Caenorhabditis elegans: one gene and its partners. The protein of the gene in region 1 purifies or fractionates together with the protein of each later gene. This does not show direct contact. Each region holds a gene or a part of one and is shown in the gene's direction. Other genes may lie near its edges.

What was found.
Region 2: the proteins of C18D11.7 (region 1) and prel-1 fractionate together in Caenorhabditis elegans (co-fractionation; one large-scale study listed by BioGRID). This does not show direct contact.
Region 3: the proteins of C18D11.7 (region 1) and pept-1 fractionate together in Caenorhabditis elegans (co-fractionation; one large-scale study listed by BioGRID). This does not show direct contact.
Region 4: the proteins of C18D11.7 (region 1) and C25H3.14 fractionate together in Caenorhabditis elegans (co-fractionation; one large-scale study listed by BioGRID). This does not show direct contact.

Annotation. Positions count from the first base shown.
Region 1 is NC_003281.10:11,803,291-11,809,290, reverse strand, and holds C18D11.7 (BTB domain-containing protein), read left to right. Parts: upstream 1-2,495; 5' UTR 2,496-2,511; coding exon 2,512-2,615; intron 2,616-2,697; coding exon 2,698-3,019; intron 3,020-3,062; coding exon 3,063-3,201; intron 3,202-4,296; coding exon 4,297-4,709; 3' UTR 4,710-4,738; downstream 4,739-6,000. Other genes in the region: C18D11.9 (uncharacterized protein), read right to left, coding at 49-173; C18D11.10 (uncharacterized protein), read right to left, coding at 877-979, 1,398-1,495.
Region 2 is NC_003280.10:11,493,135-11,498,193, forward strand, and holds prel-1 (PRELI/MSF1 domain-containing protein), read left to right. Parts: upstream 1-2,557; 5' UTR 2,558-2,568; coding exon 2,569-2,642; intron 2,643-2,692; coding exon 2,693-2,793; intron 2,794-2,844; coding exon 2,845-3,026; intron 3,027-3,071; coding exon 3,072-3,347; 3' UTR 3,348-3,529; downstream 3,530-5,059. Other genes in the region: ooc-3 (Chloride channel CLIC-like protein 1), read right to left, coding at 330-379, 572-774, 831-963, 1,014-1,120, 1,169-1,287, 1,350-1,812, 1,863-1,960, 2,007-2,180; emc-5 (Membrane magnesium transporter), read left to right, coding at 3,708-3,727, 3,847-4,048, 4,517-4,729; nuaf-6 (Phytoene synthase), read left to right, coding at 4,531-4,862, 4,930-5,059.
Region 3 is NC_003284.9:6,454,319-6,463,217, forward strand, and holds pept-1 (Peptide transporter family 1), read left to right. Parts: upstream 1-2,553; 5' UTR 2,554-2,714; coding exon 2,715-2,757; intron 2,758-3,385; coding exon 3,386-3,541; intron 3,542-3,967; coding exon 3,968-4,109; intron 4,110-4,152; coding exon 4,153-4,242; intron 4,243-4,455; coding exon 4,456-4,646; intron 4,647-4,693; coding exon 4,694-4,771; intron 4,772-4,818; coding exon 4,819-4,901; intron 4,902-4,959; coding exon 4,960-5,215; intron 5,216-5,464; coding exon 5,465-5,609; intron 5,610-5,663; coding exon 5,664-5,745; intron 5,746-5,790; coding exon 5,791-5,913; intron 5,914-6,094; coding exon 6,095-6,360; intron 6,361-6,411; coding exon 6,412-6,931; intron 6,932-6,990; coding exon 6,991-7,323; 3' UTR 7,324-7,449; downstream 7,450-8,899. Other genes in the region: Zinc metalloproteinase nas-33, read right to left, coding at 20-133, 176-259, 301-394, 548-602, 735-816; K04E7.1 (Serpentine Receptor, class BC (Class B-like)), read left to right, coding at 7,711-7,825, 8,331-8,422, 8,472-8,564, 8,612-8,710, 8,773-8,899. UniProt on the Caenorhabditis elegans protein: Low-affinity peptide transporter that is necessary for proton-dependent uptake of di- or tripeptides, and to a minor extent tetrapeptides, in the intestine. Transport is independent of sodium and chloride ions.
Region 4 is NC_003280.10:5,693,205-5,698,017, forward strand, and holds C25H3.14 (Acyl-coenzyme A thioesterase 13), read left to right. Parts: upstream 1-2,178; 5' UTR 2,179-2,189; coding exon 2,190-2,464; intron 2,465-2,842; coding exon 2,843-2,927; intron 2,928-2,982; coding exon 2,983-3,054; 3' UTR 3,055-3,154; downstream 3,155-4,813. Other genes in the region: eif-2D (SUI1 domain-containing protein), read left to right, coding at 56-340, 385-558; C25H3.3 (Acyl-coenzyme A thioesterase 13), read left to right, coding at 1,002-1,276, 1,322-1,406, 1,449-1,535; C25H3.10 (F-box domain-containing protein), read right to left, coding at 3,490-3,735, 3,785-3,928, 3,978-4,193, 4,246-4,356, 4,402-4,518.

The DNA of each region.
Region 1 (6,000 bases):
ATATGTCGGTCGCTTTGCCCACGATGTGTCGGCCGCTACAAAACTCACGGTGTTTGACTAGCTCCCACTTTTGTCCACGTCAGTGCATGTTCTCCAACTTTGCCCTTTAGGTTTGCTGGAGCACAAAATGCTTCAAATACAAGCAGGCATAGTAGTACTGAGAGTTTATTCATTTTTTAAAAGTCTTATTGTTTAGTTTTTCTCAAGGACCTTATATATAACCATTATAGGCGGGGTTGAGACAGTTGTGTAGTTTGTACTTTTAAAAGTTTCGTTACCATTGTAGATTAGCATGCAGATTCTGATCAGAGGGGTAAATATGTAGCAATTACATATCTGAAAACTTCCTGATTGCGGCAACTTAAAGTGAAAAAAATGATGTTTAGACATGGAAAATTTACATCTCAAAACAAGACAATTAAAAACGACTGTTTGTTTTTAAAAGGTTAAGTGTCTGAAATTGAAAAAATAACTGGAGAAAAATGAAAGACCATTGCTTTAAAAAAAATGAAGAGGAAAATGAGGACCCAAGAGCTGTGTAGTTTCAAAAACATTTCACATTGACACCTAGCCGGTTCCATGAAGACTTTAAAACGCCTGCCTGATTGACTTTAAGGCGACCTTCGCCTGCCTCTCGAACTGCGCCTCATGCTAAAACAAACTTGAACTTTTGTTTGTTTTTTAATTTATAGTCAGGCGTCAGGCCCTGAAATCGAGCCTGCCTACTATGGAAGCCCTATTGACACCACATGCTTTTGAACAGCTAGTTTCCGAATTTCAGATTTTTTCATGTTTTTTATTTACAATAACATAATGCGTCAAAAACTTTATTTCTAACCCTACAACCACATAAAATTACAACTTGGATACAACTTTTCATCCCCAGAATGGGTATCCGGTAGTCGGTATGCCATACCCTCCGAAACCCCATGGTCGGGCGAATCCCCAACCTCCATAGTATCGACGAGTCCGGATATGCCTGAAAATTATAAAAAATGAAAACTAAAGTATAACACGGCCCGGCAAGCCGTACGCGTTTTTGCCTTCTTTTAGTTTGTCTACCGTATACCTGAACGTTTGGGCGCGTCTATCTCAAAAACGGTTAATCCAGTTTTTTGTGATGCATATAAAAAATGGCCGAAAATAAATTCTAAAATTTTGGGACCAATGCTTTTTTTTTGTTATCACGCGCCCAAACCTAGTCTACACTCAAATTATCAGTAGAGCGCATTTGAATGGATGTACCACTTGCCGGGTCGTGTATAATCAAGGATCTTGTACACAGGCCCTACTCATTACCCCGTAAATGTCGGCCGCTATCTTAGGAGGAAAAGAAGGAAGCAGCGGTCTTTTACCCAAGAGGTGTCCCATCAGGTGTCGGCCGCTACAAAACTCACGGTGTTTGACTAGCTTCCACTATTGTCCACGTCAGCGCATGTTCTCCAACTTTGTCCTTCAGTTTTGCTGGAGCACAAAATGCTCCAAATACAAGCATACATACTAGTAATACTTATGTTCCGGCAGGCAGGCAGGCAGGCAGGTAGGCACCTACATGGAAGCCCTATTTCTGGGGAGTTAGAAAAATGGTGAAAAGCAAAAAATGTAAAGCAAAACAAACTTTTATTTTCAACAGCAAAACGTTTTGTTATTTTTTGCCGTCAAATCATATATTTCCCAGTTTTTTCCTAACGTTGGCTCACTGTTTCTCAAAAAATGTAATTCCAAATTCGAAATTTAAAAATTGCAAAAAATTACAGCCCAGAGGGATCACCACCAGGCAGTGTACCTGAATCCCAGATCCGCAGTGCATAGCACTTGAAGAACGGATCGTCCTTTAATCCTTTAATCCTTTAAAATTAAAGTTTTCCATACCAAATTGCCGTTTCTTTTGTGGGTTTGCCCATTTTTCTGGAAATTTCGGAATTTTAATTTTAAACTACAAAATTGTACCTATACATCTATCTTGAAAAATCAGTGAAATCTATGAAAATATCGGCAAATTGGCAAACCGGCAAATTTCCCAAAATGAAAATTTCCTGGAAATTGGCAATTTGCCGGAATTGAAAGTTTCCGGTAAATCGGTAAATTGACAAAATTGCCGGAAGTGAAATTTTCCGGCAAATTCGGCAACCGGCAATTTGCCGTAATTGAAAGTTTCCGACAAATCGGCATATCGACAATTTGCCGGAATTAAAAATGTCCGGCAAATCGTCAATTGCAGCCCACCCTTTCTATGTATCCAAGAATTCTGATCGTTTGATTTTAATCTATATAGTGGAAAATCCCAAATGTATAGTGCTCGCTTAGAAATCACCAAAACCAAACTTCTAATATCTATTCTTCTCAAAAACAAATAATATACATTTCCTCTCTCCCATTGTCCCTTGACAATAATCAACCGCCCATCGTTCTCGCATCTCCTCTTCGGGTTATTTGTCGCTAATAGCAACCTGCAATATATAATCCGTGCGTTGTTCCTAACCTCATTTCTTTTAAGCTCATTCACTATAGATGAGTGATGTGTATCGTGTTGGGGAAGATGCTACGAGTGAGAAGAGCCTCGTCATGACACCGGATACAAATCCACAACATGCCTATGTTGCTAATTATTTGTGGTGAGTATTATACTTTAAACCCTTTTCATATAAAATAAAAATAAAAAAATAAAAAATAAATCCTACTCCATAAAATTTCCAGGTTCTTCTTCATCAAGGATCGAAAATTCCACATTGCCGCCTTTTTCAAAGAAACCCCAGAAATCGAATACCAGTCATCCGTAAAAATATGGTTCAAGGATGAGCATTTTAGCTATTACGAGAGATCAGAGCCATTTCCATTTGAAGAAAAATGCGAGGATACTTATGATATTGAGTATCTAGACTGGACTTCAATAGAGGTCACATTCAAGGTAACGAAGTTATACGGTGAAGAGTACATTGGTCCAGCCGATAAAGAATCTGAAAACGAGGATGGTTTAATTGTGAACGTTGCCAATCAGAAGATATTTCTCTGTATGGAGGTAACAACTCATCTACTGACACTAGCTGTAAAACCTCTTCCAGACAATTGTCTCAAACTCGGAAGTGTTCAACAAGCTCCGCGACAGCTCCTCCGGCATTGAGATCACCTTGCTCGATGTGGATCCAGAGGTGTTTCTCGAGATGTTACGGGTTCTGAACCCTCCGCATAAGCGGATATCACGTAAGTTACAATTGGACTAACAAGATTAAGCTTAACTCTTAAATAATAAAAAGGGATTAGGTATTTTTTAGATTGGAGGCGTTTGCAGATAGTTGTTAGCAAGATGTGTGCAAAAATTGAATAAGAACAAAGTGCATAAGGTTGAGAAATTTTGGTGGAAGAATATATAGATTTAAAAACAAAAAAAAAATTTTTAAGCATTCTTGTAGGCGTGTATTTTGTGTATCACCTCTCAGTTTGATCTTCAAAAATTGTTGAAATATTAGAGTATGAAAAAAATTAGAGTTTGAAGCAAATTGCCGGTTTGCCGATTTGCCGGAAATTTTTATTAAAAAAAAAATCGTTTGCTGCCTAATATGATTTTTTTTTTAAATGCATTTACCAGCTCCGCCGAGGCAAACGATTTTTGTCGGAATTGAGATCTTTGGCAAATCAGCAAATTTAGATCTCAGGCAAATTCGGCAAATAGTCGTAATTGGGATCTCCGGCAAATTGCCGGAATAGAAAACTCCGGCAAATCGGAAAAACGGCAAATTGCTGAAATTGACAATTGCCTGAATTGAGCTCTCCGGCAAATTGGCAAATTGCCGGAATAGAGATCACCAGCAAATTGACAAATTGGCAAAATGCCTGAATGGAAATTTTCCGGCAAATTGCCGATTTGCCGGAAAAACGGCAAGTGCCGAATACTTTCGGCAAATTGTGGTTTTGCACAGTTTTTTTTTGGAAATTTCAGAATTTCAATTTAAATCGGCAAAATTGTACGCATCCTATGAATGTTCCTACATCTATTTTGGAAAGTAAGCAAATTCTATGAAAATATCTAAAAGTGTTGCCGTCTTATAAAAAATCCCTCTAAAAATTTCCGGCAAATAGATATCAGGCAAAGGGCATATCGGCAAATTGACGGAACTCGCATTGCCGGCAAATCGACAATTTGCCGGAGTTGGAAATTTCCGGCAAATCGACAAACCGGCAATTTGCCGATTTGCCGAATTTGCCGACTAAAAAATTGCCGAACTTGCAGTTGCCTTTGCCACCCATTCCTGTTTCTAATAATACATTAAATTGTAAATTTTCCAATTGATTTTCCAGGATTCTACTTCACTGAATTCCTCCTTCTCGCATGCCGCTTTCGAATGTATCGCCTTCTCGTCTTACTTGACGATTTCTCGAGAACAGATGAATATGATAAAAATTGGATAACCCGCCACTCTTGGAAAAAGTTTCAGTTAATTCTCCAAGAAGATCCGAGTTTTTCCATTCAAGTTCTGGAAAGTTTCCGGGTGAAAAGGAGAATGGAAAAACCAGTGAGACGAGTCAAAATTCGAGATCCAGAAATTCAAAGTGTTCATCTTCTTGATGATAAAAAATCGTGGTTTGGAGAAGCTTGCGAGTATTTTGCGTTCAATAAGTCCAAACTTATATTCACAATTTTGTCGATTTGGTTTCTCGAACACGTGTTTATTTTTACATGGAAGTTTGCTCAAATCAAAAAACCATCTTAGTTTGAATTGAACAGTGATAAATAATTTATATTGAATTTTTTGAAAACGATGTAAAAAACTGTAGAGTTACTAATGACAAGTAGCAGCCGACATCTCACAGGTTTGCACCAAAATTAGCAGGAGACATTTTTCAAGCAGTTCAAATATTTTTTAAAGATTCTTTCAGACCTTGATAATAATTACAATTTTTAATGAAACATTGAATTTTATTGTGTTGTTATGAAAATAAAAACAGTAGAAAGTGAGTAAATTTTAAAAATATTAAGATCAAAGTTTTGAATGCAAGAGAGAGAGAGAGAGAAGAAAATGTGAATTAAAAATGAAGAAAAGCTTGTGGGAACCCAAAATTCTGAGAATGCGTACTGCGCAACATATCTGACGCGAAAAATATCTCGTAGCGAAAACTACAGTAATTTTTTTAATTAATACTGTAGCGCTGGTGTCGATTTACGGAAATCATTTTTTAATCGACAAAATATTAAAAGAAAACACTGTCATAATTCGAACTTTTTTTTCTCTGCAAATTCGGCAAATCGACAAATTGCCGGAAATTTTCAATTCCGGCAATTTGCCGTTTTGCCGGAAAATTCCAATTCCGCCAGTTTGCCGATTTGCCGGAAATTTCGAATTCCAGCAATTTGCCGTTTCGCCAGAAATTTTCAATTCCGGCAACTTGCCAATTTGTCGATTTGCCGGAATTTTCCTATTCCGGCAGTTTGCCGTTTTGGCAGAAATTTTCAATTCCGGCAATTTGTCGATTTGCCGGAAATTTCCAATTCCGGCAATTTGCCGTTTCGTCAGAAATTTTCAAATCCGGCAACTTGCCAATTCGTCGATTTGCCAGAAGTTTTAAACTCCGGCAATTTGCCGATTTATTTATTTATTTCAATACGATTCCATATGAATCGTGTCATTAGAAAAGAGTACAAAAATAATACACATAATTGGCAATTTGCCGGAAAATTTTAATTCCAGCAAAATGCCAAATTGCCGATTTGCCGGCAAATTTTAATTCCGGCAAAATGCCAAATTGCCGATTTGCCAGAAATTTTCAATTCCGGCAATTTGCCGATTTGCCGGAAAAAGTCGTTTGCCGCCCACTCCCTGCCGTAAATCGACACCAAAGTTTTCGCTACGAGATATTTTGCGCGTCAAATATGTTGTGTAATACGCATTCTCAGAATTTAGTACTCCCGGAATATTGAGGTGAGCTATTTTAATACTCAAAAACTCAAAAAAAAATCGGAAAAATGGAAATAATAAATCCAAAAATCAAAAAAAAACCCGTCCG
Region 2 (5,059 bases), on another chromosome or scaffold:
TTTTGAGAAAACCTTCTTCGTGAGACGTCATCAGATTCATAAAGGTCTCGGAAATAGCTTGATGAGTAAACATTTGATCTCAAGTTCAAAGAACTATTAATTTTGAAACCGGAGATGATTCATTGACAAGGAAAGCAACAAAAAAAACTACCAGTAAAGTGTAATTCAAGGAAGAGGTAATAGGCAAGATCTACAGGAAAAGAATGGAAAATTAGTAAAAGTGATTTCTAGATATGAACTAAAAATGTACAAAAAAGAGGGAAAAATATTGATTGTACAAACAAAAAAAGAGATAACAAATTGAACGGGTTGGGTTGACCTTCGAGTCATTAGAAGCTTGATTCTGATAAGGTTGTTGAGTCGATTTTTGCAGGAGATTCTGAAATTTAAAAGTAAAGCTTTTTAATAAGTTTATATTGTTTTACACAAAAATCAATAAAGGACGAAGCGGTGAACATTTTAGTTTTCTAGTTTTTTAGATGTTAATTTATGATTTTTAAATTTGAATTTTTCGCAGAATTTATGTTATGGGCAACTGGAATCCATCTGAATTTCCTGCTCAAAACATTACCGTTAACTTTCTCCTCATCCTCATCTTCACTCGATTCTCCGAGTAAGCTCAGATCGTCTTCTAGCGACGATTCCACCGGAGCTGAGTCTTCTTCCATCTTCATCGACTCCTCTCTCTCGTTGTCGCTCTTTTTCTCGTTCCCATTTTCGCTTCCACTCACGACGTCTTCTCGCTCCGATGTTGGATAACTTATCATTTCGGGTCTGAAATAATATTCGTTATTTCACACAATTTAACAGGAAAAACACCGCAATCATACTTTTTATTTCTTGCCTGTTCTAATCTTTTCATCTCTTTTGCTGTTATAAGCAGTTGGGGAGCTGGCTGCTGTGGAGGTTCTCCATCCAGCCAACCCGCGATTTTTCCAATACTGGAACTACAGAAGTTGAGCCCTGAAAAATATTAGTTTTTGTTATTTAACTATTAAATTAAAATTTCTTACAAATCGGTTCATAACTAAAGAATGGAGTTCGAATAGCTCCAAGCATTAGAACAAGGAAGATTGTCATCACGATTTGAGCTATCAATGGAGCACCGTCATATAGATTTCTGGAAAAATTAATTTACAGCTTTTTTTATGAATTCGTCAAAAAATACCTGAAGAATAAATTAAAGTGCTTCGCAGAACCAGAAAAAAACGCAAAGAATCCTCCGGAAATAGTCTCAGAAAACACTTCGATGATAGAAATCTCGTGGAAAATCGATATGGTTTGACTCTGAAATTTACAACATTTAAAATAATTTAACCCAACAAAGAAGAAATAAAACAAAAACTAACCTCAATGTACTTTAAACATTTTGATTTTTGCCGATATTGGAAAGGCGATGCGAGGATTTCAACCATTCTTGAGAGTAATCCTTCTGTAGCACAAGAATCATGAGCATGCTCTTGGAATTGTGCAAATCTTCGTGATTCTGCTTCTTGATATTTTTTGCTATAACCAGAATACATGGAAACAAGAAGAGCAGTTGAGAGAACGAGAATCCAAAAGTTTCGTGGCCGAACGATTGATCGAAGAACAACAAAAGCAGCCGCGGGCAAAATGAAGATGTTCAGTGTGAAAATGAAAGGTTGGAGAGTCACAAATGTATCCTGCCAAGTACGATCTGGAGCTGGAGGCTTCACGCTGAAAATGTTTGACAACGCGGATCGGACGGCTTCTCTCTCTTCAGCCAAATCTGCTTCATCATTTTTTAAATACTTCGAAAGAACCGACATGCTGTGCCGAGATATTTTAATTCTGCAATTCAAAGCTTAAAATATATCGGAACTAGAAGAAAATATACTCACTGTACATCTTTTTTAATTGAACCTTCCAAATGATAGTCAATTTTGGTTTCGTGGAGAAGTTGTCGAAGAATCAGACGAAGACTTTGATCAGGCTGAAACTATTGAATGGGTTATTTACGGATTTCTTTAAAGCTTTTAGTTTACCTTCTGAACTTGATTTCGAACAGATAGAAGTCGTTTTGACGCTGGCGGGCTTTCTCCAGAAGTTGGATCATTCGGATCTTTCCACACATTTTCATGTGTAAATTCTTCGTCAATGTCTTGAGTTGCGAAAAGTTGCGGGACGAGGAGTAGAAGTGTGACCCATATTATTTTCATCTGAAACAAGCGGAAAGTTGAAAGAGAAAAGATGTTTACAGCACGCTCAGCAACTGACAGGCGAGTTCATAAGATAACATAGTTGTTTGATCAATAAAATGTTGTGTTTTTCCGAGTTTTCAGATAATTCGCATTTAAACTTCACTTTTTATATTCAGAAAATTGTAAAATCGAAACATTTCAAGAATTGCGAAACAAGTTTTCAGAAGGCAAATTAATAAGTATAATACGGTTGACAATTGGTGTATGCAGAATTGTCGTGAATTTCGATGCCTGCGTACGCGAGAAATTTGCATTCATTATTTTCTTTTCCACAGTTTTCCACACTTTTCTCATCGATTTTTGCAATAATTTCATCAAATTTTCTTGTTTTTCAGTAAACTTCAAGATGAAGCTTTGGGATTCTCCGAATACCTCGTTCCCTTATTCATTTGATGAGGTTGCCAGTGCGTTTTGGGACAGGTGAGGCAGGAAATCTCGGAAAATGGTAATTTCAATTTCTAAACCCTCAGATACCCAAATTCTCATGCAAAACACATCATTTCGGAGGATGTACTCGAACGCCAGATCACTGACAACACTATTGTCACTAAAAAATTGATTGTCAAGCAAGGTATTTAGCTGATATTACAAGAGCCAGTAAATTATTCGCATAATTTTTCAGGAAGCTCGATTTTGAAACGTGTTCCTCGTTGGATTTCGAGAATGACAGATATTCAAGTTGTTCCTGTCATTGAAGAAAGTGTTTATGATAAAGTATCGAAAAAACTCGTAACATACACTCGAAATGTTTCACACATTTCTCTATTTCAACTCCATGAACGATGCATTTACAAATCATCCGAGGTTTATCATTGTTATTTCAAATCTCTATTTACTGTTATTTTTCAGGATAATCAGCAGCATCACCCAGCCCTTCTCACTGACGTACTGCGAAGTGTCACAGTTTCAATCGATTGTGGTCGAATGAGCTCAGTTTACGAGAAAGTCCTACTAATGGGCTTCAAAAAATCGATCAATAACACAACGAAAGGGTTGTTTGAGAAGCTAGAAGAGCGATTTGGAGTCAAAAACGTTGCTAATGAGAAAATGAAAATGATCAAGGAAAAGATTATCAAGTCATCGTCAAATCTCGTCACTCATGTCCAATGCGAAGAGGATGTCTAGTCAGCCATACTGAATATAAATCTCAAACATTCACTTTTTCCCGTTATTTTCATTTATGTCCCCCCAAAAAAATCTCAATTCTCATAGAATTACTGAATCTTCTGCACATTCTTTGCATTGAACTGAGACCATTATTTGTTTGTTATTTGGCTCTCAATCTCTCCTGATAAATGTACATATTCAATTTATTTTTTGAATTTTTTTTGGCTATTTTCTGGTTATTTACCAGCTATTGTTATCTTTCTTGACCTTTTTTGTCTGAATTACATTATAATCTATCATAATCTCCAATATTTAGGCTCTTCTCAATAAGGCTTTTCAAAACTCCTTCAAAAAGCTTCTTGGTCTTCGATCAACGATATGGCGAGTACTATTTACCGGTGAGTGACCTCCCAAAAGTTTCTGGAACACGGCAGTTGTTCCACTTGAATCAGCAAAAAATAACCATCAATCACAAGAAAAAGAGACATAGATATCAAAAGAAAATCCCCTGTTGCAGCCTGATCACAATCGTCTCGCTTCTCTCATTGCTCCATTGTGCCTATTCCGCCGCCCAACACCGTTTCTACCTGCGTCTCACTGAGCAACCGTTCATCAATCTCCCATCCGACGTCGTCGCTCAGACAGTTATCTCCTTGATTGCACTGATCTACGGAACTTCCTTCCTGGCCAATCCATTCCTTTTCATAAAGAAGGATCAAGTGAGTTGGAGGAGAGATTCATGAAAATTGTTTAAACCAAAAACGAGGAAAACCCGATTTTCGTAATGAGAATATCTGAAAATTTTCAAAAAAAATTATGGCTGTGCAAAGTATTTGAAAAATAACTATTTTCAGCTAAAATCTCAAATTTTGCCAGTTTAGAAGTGTTAAAAAATTCCGTCAGTGGCGGCACTGACAATTTGGCAAAATTTGAGATTTTAGCTATAATATGCGCCTTTTTCCAATACTTTGAACCGCCATGATTTTTTTTGAGAAATTTTCAAAGGTCCTCATCACGAAAATTGGCAGTTTTTTGGTTAGTTTGGGTCTAAAAAAGCAATTTTTTCTCTTTTTCCAATTTCGCTACTACGCCTTTAAAAAACTTAAAACAAAAATTAGTTCGGAGCTTTAAAATCAATTTTCCTGTTTTTTGGCATTTTCAATTTACTTCAATTTCCCAATTTCCAGCACCACGACCGATCATGCGACGAAGCACTCAATTGTCCATCATTCATCACATTCGACAACCGTGCCAAAGCAATGTCCCCAGAATTTGCGATGCTCCGAACCTTGAAACAACAGCAACGTCAACGACAAAACTCTTCTCGTGGAACTCACAGTGGACGTGTCTCCGAAGTTATTCAAACGGAAGAAGACTCGGCCGACGATTCTCAGGAATAACTTCAATCTCTGCTCGTCACTTCTCTACAAAATCCTCTCCATTCCTCGACACCTCATCTAATAATAACATTTCCAATGATAAGAAGAAAACACCTAGTCGTTCGCCAGACTTTAGCAATATTCCGGGTGCACGGTAATAATTTGTTTTGTCTTTTATGTCTTTCAACTATTTAAAAATATAAATCTTTTCCATTTTATAGTATCCCAAAATCGATGCCAAAAAGGACCCGATTCCTAGAAATCAGTAAGCAGCAGGCCGACGAGGCATTCAGAAGTTGTCTTGAAATGGTTCGAAAACACGATATCGACAGTTATCTAGCCATTTTGACT
Region 3 (8,899 bases), on another chromosome or scaffold:
ATTTCAAAAAATGACTCACATATTGAGATCCTGATTTTCGATTAAAATAAGAACTCATAATCTGGATAACTTTATCATAACTTTCTCCGGGGCGCTGGAACGCAGCTGTATTCTGGTTCACACTATTGACAACCTGAATTCTAACGTATTTGCATATTTTTTCTATTAAACTAACCTTGTCTATATCCTGACTAAACATAACTTGCGGCTGATCTTGTTGTGGTTCCGGCTCAGGCGGAGGAGGCGGTGGCGGGAGACCCTTAAACCTTTGATGAAAATTTGTAGTTTTAGGCTGGTTACCCATGGAGGTCTTCTATGCCATGGAGGTCTTCGCCAAGGTGGCGGTGGTCGATCCCATGGAGGTGGGGGTCCGAATGGCGGAGGACCTCGGTTTCTAAAACTTTGTTTTAATATGAAAACCTTGGCATTCTACACGTGCGAAAACGTGCTTTTACAAAGTTCTATTTATATATTCTTGGATTAGCATGCTGATTTTTTCAAATTCAGTTATGTTTGCAATTCTTCTGGAATCAAAGTGAAATCTCACCGATGCCAAGGTGGAGGCGGTCCCCAAGGCCGAAGAGGTCCTGGAAAAAACCAATCTGTAAACCGGAACGTATTTCATTATTTTTATACTTCCGTTTTTATCAAATTCCAGGCAAAATTTTTCAATTTTCAGATAAAAAAATAAGTAAGTGTCAGCTGATGGCGATAATTTTTCAAGGAATTCTTACCTGGAGGAGGAGGCCGTTCAAAAAAATCAGGTTGCGTCAGACAAGTAACAAACTGTGATATCAGTATGCTTACAAATAACATTTTGCTCTCGGCGGCAAGTATATGCCAAGTTTAATCAAAATGAAAGACCAAGTAAAAAAATTTACAGCATGAACTAGTTCAGGGTTTAATCGGTAATAACAACACAAATTTGGTACGCGGGAAGACCTGTAAGGTGTTTGCATCGTTTTGTCTCATTCGGCCAATCAAATATAAAGGTCGTAGAAGTTTTAATTGGGGGAATCTTTGAGAGTGAAAAGAAGATGAAATTACGCGTGGCCTCAAAAAGTTTTTTTTTGATGGCAAGATGATTGGTGAACACAAACATTTGACTATCAGTGGATGTTACTTTGAAATATTATAAAAACTCAGCAAATGGCAATTTTCAAGATCATACCATGCAGAAGATCAAGACAGAAATCTGGGGATGAATCAGACAAAGTCGCCGAATTGATCCAAATTATGTTTCGCTGAACTTCAACTATTTTTTCTTGTGTTCTTAATCAGGGTTCCCAGAAAAATGATGGTCTAGACTCACGTACTAAGTTTATAGCATTCAAGTTTTGCATGTGTATTGTAGAAATAGACTTCTAACGTTTTAATGATAGACTACAAAAAAGGGTGGAAAATCTGGATATGGGTACTGTGTTAATAATCAACGTATTATTATTACTGTAGCTTTTGTCAATTCTACACTTTGCCTATCTACACATTGTATCTACACATCTACACATTGCAATTGCTTGCAAACGCCTTTTCATAAAACTGAAACGCAATTTTTTGTTAAAATTAAAAAAATTCTTAGGAAATATAGCAAATTCCTTGAAAGGTAAACACGTATTACTTGAAAATATTTCATTAATTGACACCAAACATTACATATGGATTATTGTCGTCAGTGGAAATTTTGTCCGAAAATTTTTATTGCAATCCAGATCATCATAAAACAGTCTAAATTTTCAAAGTTTTTTTTGAAAAAAAAATCATTAAACGTATGTTATCAAGTTTATACATAGTTTAGGCTCCTTGATAAATTAAGAGTAGTGTCGCTGTACAATGTTCCAGTACAAGTGTATAAGATTTAATTAGAATATTATTTTTTTAAATTTCTATTATTTTTCAAATCGACTACCAATTTTATGTGAGCAAAGCTGATTAATCACAACTTTTTGGCTGCAAATGAAAATACTTCAAAATTTATTTATTTAACATTATAGAAGTGGTTCCATACATTTTAACTACATTCGCTACTCACCATTTATGGTGCCTTGTTTTAAAAACACTCATTAACCCGTTTTCATATGTATTTTCAGCGTCTCGTTATGTTTACTGTGTGTTATAATTAACAATTCAATTTTTTGAATGGTGTTGTAAGATTTTAAAGATTTTGAACAAGAAAACAGAATAACCTTCCCCTAAATCATTTTTCATCATAAATCACGCCGACATGATATTCAGTCGGCTCATATCACCATTTTACACCCTTTTCAACTTTGTGCCTTTCTTGTCATGCTTTTCTCTTTACCCTCCACTCAATTTTTCTTTTTCTCTTCAGAAACAGTACATCTTAATAGGTGATAACATTGAATTACAGACAACCCGCATCAAAACTTGGTCTCCAACAGTGACACGTACTCTCATTCCTTTGCTCGCCTTCTGCGCTATCCGATTAGTGGAGCATGTAATGTACGAAAACGCTTACAAGAGGTGGTGGAAAAAGAAAGTGGAAATGATAAAATTTATGAGTGAAATATTTAAGCGAGTAGGAGAAGCACTATTAAGAACAGTGCGGTTCAACTTGATAAAGAGACGCAGCAAGAAATTGGTGAGGACACAGTCATCGAGCCAACGCACCTATTGCCCACCTCCATACTCCTCCTTCTTCTTCATTTCTTGCCTCAAATACCGCGACAGGCTCATTCCTCGTCAGTATCGCCACTATGGGCTACTCGGAGAGTCGCTCGGAGAGCGTTAGCTCGAAAGGTAACTGATTCATCATATAAAAGTTCAATAAAGCATAATACATTTATTAAGACGGTTAAGCCTGAATATTATACCACCCATGTAGTTTAATTTTTAAGATATTGTAACATTACACAGTATTTGAATGTTTTAATAGTTTGTTCAATTGTATTTCTCTCGAAATATGATTCGCATGTGGTCAATCATCCAGTCGCAGATTTTAAAGATCCACTTTCCAGTTAAGGCTGGGGTACCCCTCACGTTTTATACTCGTGACCCCTAGTTGCTAGCGACTACCATTAACAACTGGGCTCCTGTTGAAAACTGTAATCCAATAATTTTGTATTACTTATGAGTAACAAGAACCCTCAACTAATAAATCTAATATTAATGCAGATTTTGCAACACACTGTACGGAACAAAATAACTTACCTCCAGCATACCGAAACATCATTTCCAGATTGTTTTATTGTTTTGTAAAATACAATTCTTCTTAACAGCCGCTAAAACTAGTGATAATGGCATTTATCTAAAATTAGATGGATTATAACTAATCTTGCCGCGTGGGAAATTTTATCTATCAAAAAAAAAGGCGACAAGAGTAAATTTCAGAGTTTTTGATCGAAAATCGACAGAACGAGTTTTTCAGGCAAAACATCATACGGCCATGAACTCGAAACAGTACCACTACCGGAAAAGAAAATCTACACAACATGGCCTGATATGATCAGGCATTGGCCTAAAACAACACTGTGCATCGTGTCCAACGAATTCTGCGAACGATTCTCATACTATGGAATGAGAAGTGAGTTGCTTTATTTGTTAGGGTAAAAGTGTAAAGGATATAATAGATCCTTTAAACAGCCTTAAACATTTCTGATGTATCAATAATCTACAAAAAATATTTTTATTTGTACATATATTTTTAGTTTAGTTTAAGAGGTAAGGTGAAGAAAAAGTAGAGTTAAACCTTATTTTGATTTTCGGCCGGTGGGTGGACATTTTCAGATAAGGGTATTATCAACATTTACTTTAAGTACATGGTACTCAAAAAGTGAATTTCCTATCTACATGCCAGTATATTTAAAAATCGAAAGTTTTGACACATGAAATGCAAATAAGACATTTTTTCACCGATATCACTAAAAGGTCATAATCCGGTTATTACCATAATGATTATGACGTTGGCAGTACAGAAGATCAATTGAAACGTGACACGAAAAATTTGCAGCGGTCTTGACATTCTACCTGCTTAACGTACTAAAGTTCACCGACTCACAATCTACGATCTTCTTCAATGGATTTACTGTGCTTTGCTATACCACACCACTTCTCGGATCAATTGTTGCGGACGGATACATTGGAAAATTCTGGTATGTAATAATTGTTGTTTTGCACTCAATAACGACTTTTCAGGACAATCTTCTCTGTCTCAATTCTATACGCAATCGGACAAGTCGTGCTCGCTCTCGCTTCTACTAAGAATTTTCAATCTTCAGTTCACCCGTAAGTGATGCTTGTTCCAGTATTCGACGCATAAACTTATCATGCAACTTTTCCGTCTTTACGAATTCCTCTCGATTGAAACAAGGCATGATGATAAGAACTTCAACCGTGGCAACTTTTGCCCGACAGTGCACGCGCCACATTAAACATTAAAAAACTGAAACCGAACAAAATTAAAAAGGGTTCACAAGAAATAAACTGCTGAATTTTCAGATGGATGGATCTGTCTGGATTACTGATCATTGCGTTCGGTACCGGAGGAATCAAGCCATGTGTGTCTGCATTCGGAGGAGATCAATTCGAGTTAGGACAAGAAAGAATGCTCTCACTCTTCTTTTCCATGTTCTACTTTTCCATCAACGCAGGATCTATGATCTCTACTTTCATCTCTCCCATCTTCAGATGTAAACTTGACAATTCTTAAAACACTATTAGAGTACAATAATTTCAGCTCAACCATGCCTTGGACAAGATTCCTGCTACCCAATGGCTTTTGGTATTCCGGCTATTCTTATGATTGTTGCAACACGTGAGATAAAATATTCAAAAATCACATTGACTATTAAACTCTTACAGTGGTATTTATGGGAGGTTCATTTTGGTACAAGAAGAACCCACCAAAGGACAACGTGTTCGGAGAAGTATCTCGTCTTATGTTTGTAAGTTTTTGTTTTGTTTTATTTCTAAACTGCTTTGAAACCAAGATTAAATATTCAGAGAGCTGTTGGAAACAAAATGAAGTCAGGATCCACACCAAAGGAACACTGGCTCCTTCACTACCTTACTACTCACGACTGTGCTCTTGATGCAAAATGCCTCGAACTCCAAGCTGAGAAAAGAAACAAGAATCTGTGCCAAAAGAAAAAATTCATCGATGATGTCCGTTCCCTACTCCGTGTTCTTGTCATGTTCTTGCCAGTACCAATGTTCTGGGCACTTTACGATCAGCAAGGATCTGTCTGGCTCATTCAAGGTTTGTAAAGTTCTAGATAACAATTTAAAAATGATCAAATTGGGGAGTCAGCTGCAGAATTCCTTGTGGTGCACCCACTGGGTTTTAGCTTAAGCTACAATCAAGCCGGGGGGCTAAGTCAGCCGTTGATTAATCTAATTCCCAGCGTTGGCTTAGTGAACCTAGGAGTGCAATTTTGTGATTGCTAGCGACCACCACTACCGACTGAGACATCCCCGCTCTTCACATGTTAAAAATGTGTTTTTTCAGCTATTCAAATGGATTGTCGTCTTTCTGACACCCTTCTCCTTCTTCCGGATCAAATGCAGACATTGAACGCCGTGCTTATTCTTCTCTTTATCCCACTCTTTCAGGTCATCATCTACCCAGTCGCTGCCAAGTGTGTCCGACTTACGTGAGTTTTCATTGAAATAAAATTATTTGTGTATAATGAATTATTATATTTTAGACCTTTGAGAAAAATGGTCACTGGAGGGCTTCTCGCGTCACTTGCCTTTTTGATCACTGGATTTGTTCAACTTCAAGTCAATGTAATTTCAAATAAAATTGTTCCATAATTTATTAATTCTTTACAGACTACTCTTCCAACTCTCCCGGAAGAAGGAGAAGCATCAATTAGTTTCTGGAACCAGTTTGAAACTGATTGCACCATTACCGTTATGTCTGGAATTCACAAGAGAGTTCTTCCCCATGACAAGGTTTGAGATTCGAATTTGATTCTTTTCACTTTTAACTTTCTCCTCCTAAGTTCTAAACGAAAGATCATGCCATTTTAAGTGCTGATAAGAAAAAAGGAAGTCAGAAAAAGTTATCGTAAAATTATTTAATTTATTGCCTTTGTCATGAATTACTATACGTATTTACACAACAACGTTTCAGTATCTTCACGAAGATAAAAAGAACAAGTCTGGAATTTATAATCTTTTTACAACAAAATCCCCCGCAAAAGGTAATGGCGATTGGACTCTCACATATGACCTCAGCTATGACGGCGCTTGCGGAGATACATCAAAATTGGAGAAAACTGTTAAAGTGACTGCCAAGAGCAAGAAGATCATCTACGTTGGAGTCGGATCATTTGGATATTACCAAAACACAGCTAACACTGATAAGCCAACTGATGGAACTGGAGAATTCTCTATGGGGTAGGGGTGTTCATAACACGGAACAATGGTTAAATAATATATAAATTCCAGAATTGTCACTGTATTCAATTCTTCATACGGAGGAAACTTTGCCATGTGCCGTCAAAATACAAGCGACTTTGATGTTAACCATCCATGTAATCCAAGACATCCTGCTGACTTTTACTTCTGGGAAACCGATTATAATAGTCATACCGATGACAGAGATCAAAACGCTACAATTACTGGATCTCTTAGTTCCCAACCGGCTGTAACTTACAAGCAGAAATCTGTAAAGCCAGGATATTGGCAGTTGTACTACCTTTTGAATACACCAAAAGATGTAGACCGGCAGACTTACAACAAAACAGCAACACTCGTTGCTCCAACAAATTACGGTTTTCACAGAGTTAAGCAGGGAGGTGTGTTCATCTATGCATTGACCGGAACATACGAAAATCCAAAGATCCACGAGCTTCAAATTGTACAGTCCAATAGTGTGTCGATTCTTTGGCAGATTCCACAAATCGTTGTCATCACGGCAGCAGAAATTTTGTTCTCAATTACCGGATACGAATTTGCATATTCTCAGGTAATGTTAATAGTTAAAATTTATAATTTATAATGCTATTCTAACTGTAAATATTACAGTCTGCCCCATCAATGAAAGCTCTGGTACAAGCCCTCTGGCTCTTGACCACTGCTGCTGGAGATTCCATCATTGTAGTCATCACAATCCTTAACTTATTTGAAAATATGGCCGTCGAATTCTTTGTCTATGCTGCTGCGATGTTTGTAGTTATTGCCATCTTTGCTCTTCTCTCCATTTTCTATTATACTTACAATTATTATACAACTGATGAAGAGGACGGTGAAATTGGAGTTGATGATGAGGAAGAAATTGAGGATCACAATCCACGATATTCAATTGATAACAAAGGTTTCCATCCGGACGAAAAAGATACTTTCGATATGCATTTTTAATTAAATCCTAATATGTATAAATTTTCAATTTTGTTTTCCTAAACCTACTACTGTTGCTTTCCCTTATTGTGACATCGTGATAAAATTCGTTTTCACTTGAAAAAATAAATATTTCTAAAAACTTTGTTCATGTCCACTCTCACAACAACAGCCGAACTGCATCTTGATTCTGTCGTTTTGCGACCAAACACATTTCTTATTCCATTGCAAAAGTCTCTGAACTCAAAAATAGGAGCCAAATTTGAAAGTTGGCATGCGACGACCGGATGAGTATATCCGGTCTAAAGCTTTGTAAGCTAGTGGAGGACGGACAATAGCTTGTTGCCGGGGGCTCTCTCATTATCTGCTTTTTTTTGGATTTGCTCACGACACACTGGGCGACTAAATATGACGGATGAATTAACATCACCTTCTCTCAAATCTGGAAATGTTCTGGCTCTACTTAACACACTTTACACTTCCGGATTTGCAATGGCGTCCTCCAGCACTCCATTGCTCAAAGGTTTGACTCTTGGGCAAATAATTTTTTGTCATTTTAATTTTTTCACTTATAGGCAGAGTAGCAAGTTTTATTATCACGGTAATAGTCTTCAAACATTTTAATTAATCAATTAAATTTGATGAATTAAAACATTTCAGGGCGTTTTAAAATTTCGAAAAATTATGGCCGAGTTTAGCTAAATTTCACAATTCCTTGTATAAAAAAAATGCCTACTGAATAACCTGCAGATGCAAAAACGTGTCACCTGCTACATAAATGACGGTTCGACAAAATTTAAACTTTTCGCTTCTTACATCTTTCATTTTTTAAACAGTCTGAAAGTTTTTCATAAAGTTTTAGTATGAATTAGTCTATTCAGGCTATACAAAGTGTTTTGCTATTCCATCTTTAAGCTAATACAAAATAAACTAGAAAAGTCATTGTTCCAAGCAATAATACTATACAATGGATTTTATTCTTGATGACATATAATTATCACCTAAAACTTATTATCTATTTCTTTCAGGAAAAACTTTGCACACCCTATATGCTGTTTCGTTTGTCGTCTACGTCACCAACTCTATTTGCTCTTGGCTTCACATCAGTTTCGTGGTTAAGGTGATAATGATAATAAAGATCAATGTAAAAACCGAAATTTTAACTTCAGGGATACGTGACTTCTTTTCCACTGAATACATGGCTAGTGGTTTCTTTGGTTGTTACCGCAGTATGTGGATCAATGTGCACATGGTTGCTACTAGTAGGCGAAATTTTTCCATTTCAAAATCAAGAAACATTTTTTTTTAGGTACTTTGTATTGAGAATGCATTTGCACATAGACTAGATATTACCCCCTATCGAAGCGGATGCGCTTTGTTGTTTGAAGCATTTATAGAATGGACACAGGTGTGTAATCTTTTTCAAAACTTATAAAACTTATTGTTTTAAAAAAAGAAAATAGTTTCCAGGCATTCAACAATTTCCGAATGTCATTTCTTATCATGGCACTCCACGATGCACCGATCACAATTTTCAATTACTTCTTTATCGCATCCTGCAGATGTCCGAACCCTAAAGTGATTATAGATAGAAAGA
Region 4 (4,813 bases), on another chromosome or scaffold:
AACTACATAGGGACAGAAGGACACGCGCTTTATATATAGTAAATGATGTTTTTAGAAACTTGCTGCTGGAGGATCAGTTCGTCTTGATCCAATTATCTTTTCGGTCACTAAAATCCAAACGGATACAACTCCATGGGCAAATTTGATGAAAGAAATCCATTCAAGAATGACTGCAACATGGCACATAAGATGGCCTGACGGCAGAGAAATAGTCAGAAAAGTATCTCCACCGAGAGTTGAATTCAAGATCGAAAACCGTGCTGGAAACAAAAAAGTTACTCTTTTAAATGGATTAGCGATGTTTGGAATTGACATTCGAACGATTTGCCATCAAATTCAGGTAGTTGGTGGCTAATCCTTAAATACTAATTTCTGAATTTTCAGACTGGTGTGGCTACTAGTGTTACAAGTCAATGGGAAGTTCCTGGCGTCGAAGGTCCTCAAGTACTCGTTCAAGGAAATCAAATTCATTTTATCGCTGATCTTCTGATAAAATCGTATGGAATCGACAAGAAATTTATGAAAGGAACCGAGTTGGCGGTGAAAAAGAAGAAATAAGAAAATTTGGAGAAATTTGCAAATTCAAATAGTATTAAATCTGTTCAATGTATTCCCTCACACCTTAATTTTTTTGTTTTGAAATTCGGTCTTTCTTTATTTATTAAATACCCGTGTGTTTCTAAGTATGGGTTGTATTCGTATTTTCGGTTCCATAAAGATTCATGAAGAACTTTCTCTTATCGTTTTGAACATATCCGCTTGGTGAATTATCAGTGCCAATTTAAATATTACACATACGCGAACATTTTCGATTTTCGGGCAGAAAAAAAAGGTATTAGGTCTCGCCACGCTTTTTTTGTGAGATAAAAACGAGGGTGTGCCTTTAAAGAGTACTGTAAGTGTCGAGACCTGGTGCCGCATTTTGGACCCAAGATTTCGCGTCTGGGGGATAAATTGTTCTAAATTTTTAAGATGTTAATCCATTTTCAGATTAAATCAAAATGCCTTCAAAATACATGCAATTGGCGAAGGAAATCATCAAAAATTATGGAACCAAGGGTCAATTCGGATGTGTTTCCGGAGCAGGAAATGTGAGAGCAGTTCATGCGGAGGAAGGAAATCTACGAGTGGAATTTGAAGTTGAGAAAGATCAGTCAAACCATTTTAACACTCTTCACGGTGGATGTACATCTACGCTCATTGATATTTTCACTACTGGGGCTCTTCTTCTCACAAAACCAGCTAGGCCAGGAGTATCTGTTGATTTGCATGTTACGTACGTAAAGAGAGAAGAAAATTGTCGAATTTGATAGATTTTTAGATACCTGACCGCCGCTAAAATTGGTGAGACCCTTGTGCTCGACTCCACCGTCATCAAACAAGGAAAAACTCTTGCATTCACAAAGGTAAACTTTAAGAAAAGTTTTAAAAATATTATTTTTTTCCAGGCAGAACTCTACCGTAAAAGTGATAATGTAATGATTGCAACTGGAGTACATACCAAAGCATTCCCAACTGTGAAGAAAGCAAACTAATCAATATATTCCAAGACATGGAAATTTGCGATCCGTGCGCCAAAAATACGGTATCCGGTCTCGACACAAAATGTTTTGGTTAAATGAAAAAAGGTGTGCTTCTTTGATGAGTACTGTAATTTTAGACTCTCGTTGTTGTTGAAATTTCATTGATTTTTCAACAATTTCCCATCAATTTTCGATAAAAAAAACATTTATTAATTTATTTTAAAACTCCCATACATCAATTAAAACTTTTTTTTTTCAGAAAATCGCGAAAAAAAATCAAGAGTTGGAATTTCCAGTAAACTTTAATGGCGCACACACCTTTTCCCGTTATAAAAAAAGTTTTCGTGTCGAGACCGGCTACCGTGATTTCTGCCCAAAAATCGCAAAATTTCGTGTCTGGAATACCTCCTAAACATAATTCCTAGACACAATTTCTAATTTGATCGTTTTGAAAAACATTTCCCTTGTGTACAAAACTATTATTCCGCAATAAAATTGTAAAGAATTCTTGTTTTTTTTCCAATTTTCCATAAATACTCGTTTTAATCCGAGTACTCTGTACATGTTTTGATGGTAAGAGAATCCACGCAAGTCTACGTGGTTATGAGATTTTTGTTTTGAAACAAATATTTTTAAATCATATATTTTTTCTAAGATTGCTTGAAAATGGCATCAAAATACATGCAAATTGCGAAGGAAGTGATCAAAATGTTCGGGACAAAAGGACAATTCGGTTATGCGGCTGGAGCACGGAATGTGAGAGCAGTTCATGCGGAGGAAGGAAATCTACGAGTGGAATTCGAAGTTGAAAAGGATCAGACAAATCAATTCGAGACACTTCATGGTGGATGTACAGCAGCACTTATCGATTGTTTCACAACTGGTGCTCTTCTACTCACAAAGGAAGCGAGGCCTGGTGTTTCAGTGGATTTGCATATTACGTGAGTATCTATATCTAAATAGAGGTTTCCTAGATTATGCAATGATTTGAAACATATAAGTCTTGCGAACAAGTGCAATATTTAAGCCAAAATTCAGTGTGGGGTCCCACCACGACCGAAATGTTCTCAGCTACGGTACCAACGAACTTTTTCTAATGTTTTCTAATTTTTCCATTCCAACCTTTAATTTAAAACTACAGATTTATTGCAAAACCAACAAAAAAGAGAAATCTACCGTACTCACGAGTACGGTAACTGAAAAGTTTCGCTCATTCTAGTACCCCCATACCTATATTTTAGCTTTATAATCGTTCATTTTCGTAAACTAATAATGCCAGAAATTCAGGAGAAAATATTTATGATCATCGTAACTTCCAGATACTTGACAGCTGCAAACATCGGAGAAACTCTTGTACTCAACTCTACTGTCATCAAACAGGGGCGCTCTCTTGGATTCACTAAGGTATCATATTTTTTTATTCTTGAATATTTCTGATTACAAAAGTGTTTTATTTCAGGCAGAACTCTATCGTAAAAGGGACAATGCAATGATTGCTACTGGAGTCCACACCAAGGCGTTCCCAAAGTGATCGCTCACCATAAAATAAATAATGTTATATGCAAATTAAACTAGAATTATTTTACCATGTATTCCATTTCATTTCAGAAAATAAATATCTTTATCAATATATGTGTTTGTTTGCCATTAAAAAACACAAATATCGGAAGTGAGAGATCATTTGTTGTAAGGATAATGTGTTTTAAAGGCTCCGTATCACACGCCAACGCTCTGAGTTGATGCTCAGTGAAATACCAAAAGTGACGAAGAAGCTCAAAATTCATATTTTTTGGATGCAAATCATAGAAAGAAGTCTTATAAAAAATTCCATTAAAAAATTCCGAACATATCTTGCTGCGGTTATGTTGGAGGCAAGAAAAAAAAAAGAAATCATAATCGCCTTCGATCACTTTTTTTATACACATTGTTTATCATGAAAACTTATTCCAAAACAAGATACCAAAATTCACCACAAATATTCTAAAATTTTCAATTGCCTTATAACCAATGATGGCTGTTTCGAGAAGTTTGTACTTTTGAAGAATCCAATTTCAAGTTCCTCTTTTCCTTCGTCTAGATCCCGAGACACTTTCCACGTCGTTGGTGTTTTCTGGCAACTCTCATTTTTCAGTAAAATCAATAATTCGGGAATTGGAAAACTAATGACAATGTTGTACATTTCAATCCAAGAAATGGAGCCCAATTTCCAATTCTGAAATTCGAATAAATGGAGTGATTAATCAAATTCCACAGAAACATACTTTTAGGAAGGTAGATATATCTGAACTTCTGAGACGATTTTGCCCAATTTCCAACCAATCTCCTCTGAACTTTCTGAAGTGATCTCCCGAAAGTGGGTGGTAGAAGTTTCTAGATTCCTGATTTCCAATCGTTAATCGAGTTAACTTCAAAATAAAATTGGTAAAACTATTGAAATTTCCTTTCAATACAAACCTTCTCAACATGAAGTTCATTGAAAAAATCCTCAGGAACTCTGAATCTCCAGTCAACAATTAGTTCTGCACACACCAAACTTGCCATGCAATTTTCCAATTTTGTGACGTCACACTCAACTTTTGAGCTTCCCAATTTCAAACAATCAATTCTAGTGAAATTTGTTTTTTGAATAACTTTTTGAAGAAATTCAATAGGTTCATCTTCACTTCCATTCTGGAGAAGTAACATTGAATATTTGATTTCTTGAAACTTTAATTATACTCACCATCTCTAGCCAAAGTAAATCCACTTTAGCACCACGAAGATATTTATCCATGTCATCATGATTGATAGTGTTGATTTCATTCGAGTTTGCTAATGTGAAACTTATCTTTTCCTAAATTTGAAGTCAAAACATCAATCAACATGACAATGTACTTACAGGAGTAACAAACATCTGACGAATCGGGATGGGCAACATGTACCTTTGGTACAACTGAATAAAATGTTGTACTCTTTTAGAGACAGTCTTCATACTTTGAATTGTTCGAAACTCAGTCTGGAATGAAATTTAATGTATTTATTTTGAAAAGTCTAGATTCTAGATTCTAGAATGAAATTATTAAAAATTTGTATATCATAAAACATTATTTTAACTAAAATGTAAATGTTAATGTCGATAGGTTTATGTAAACAAAACTATTTTTTAAAGATGGTGCATCGTAAGACGGAAACTTGTATATTTTATAAAACAATATAACTCATTATAATCGAAATGCCCAAATATGATAATTAACGACTTTGAAATTTTTTAGATTTACTCGAATGATTAGACAACGTTTTTGTAATTATCC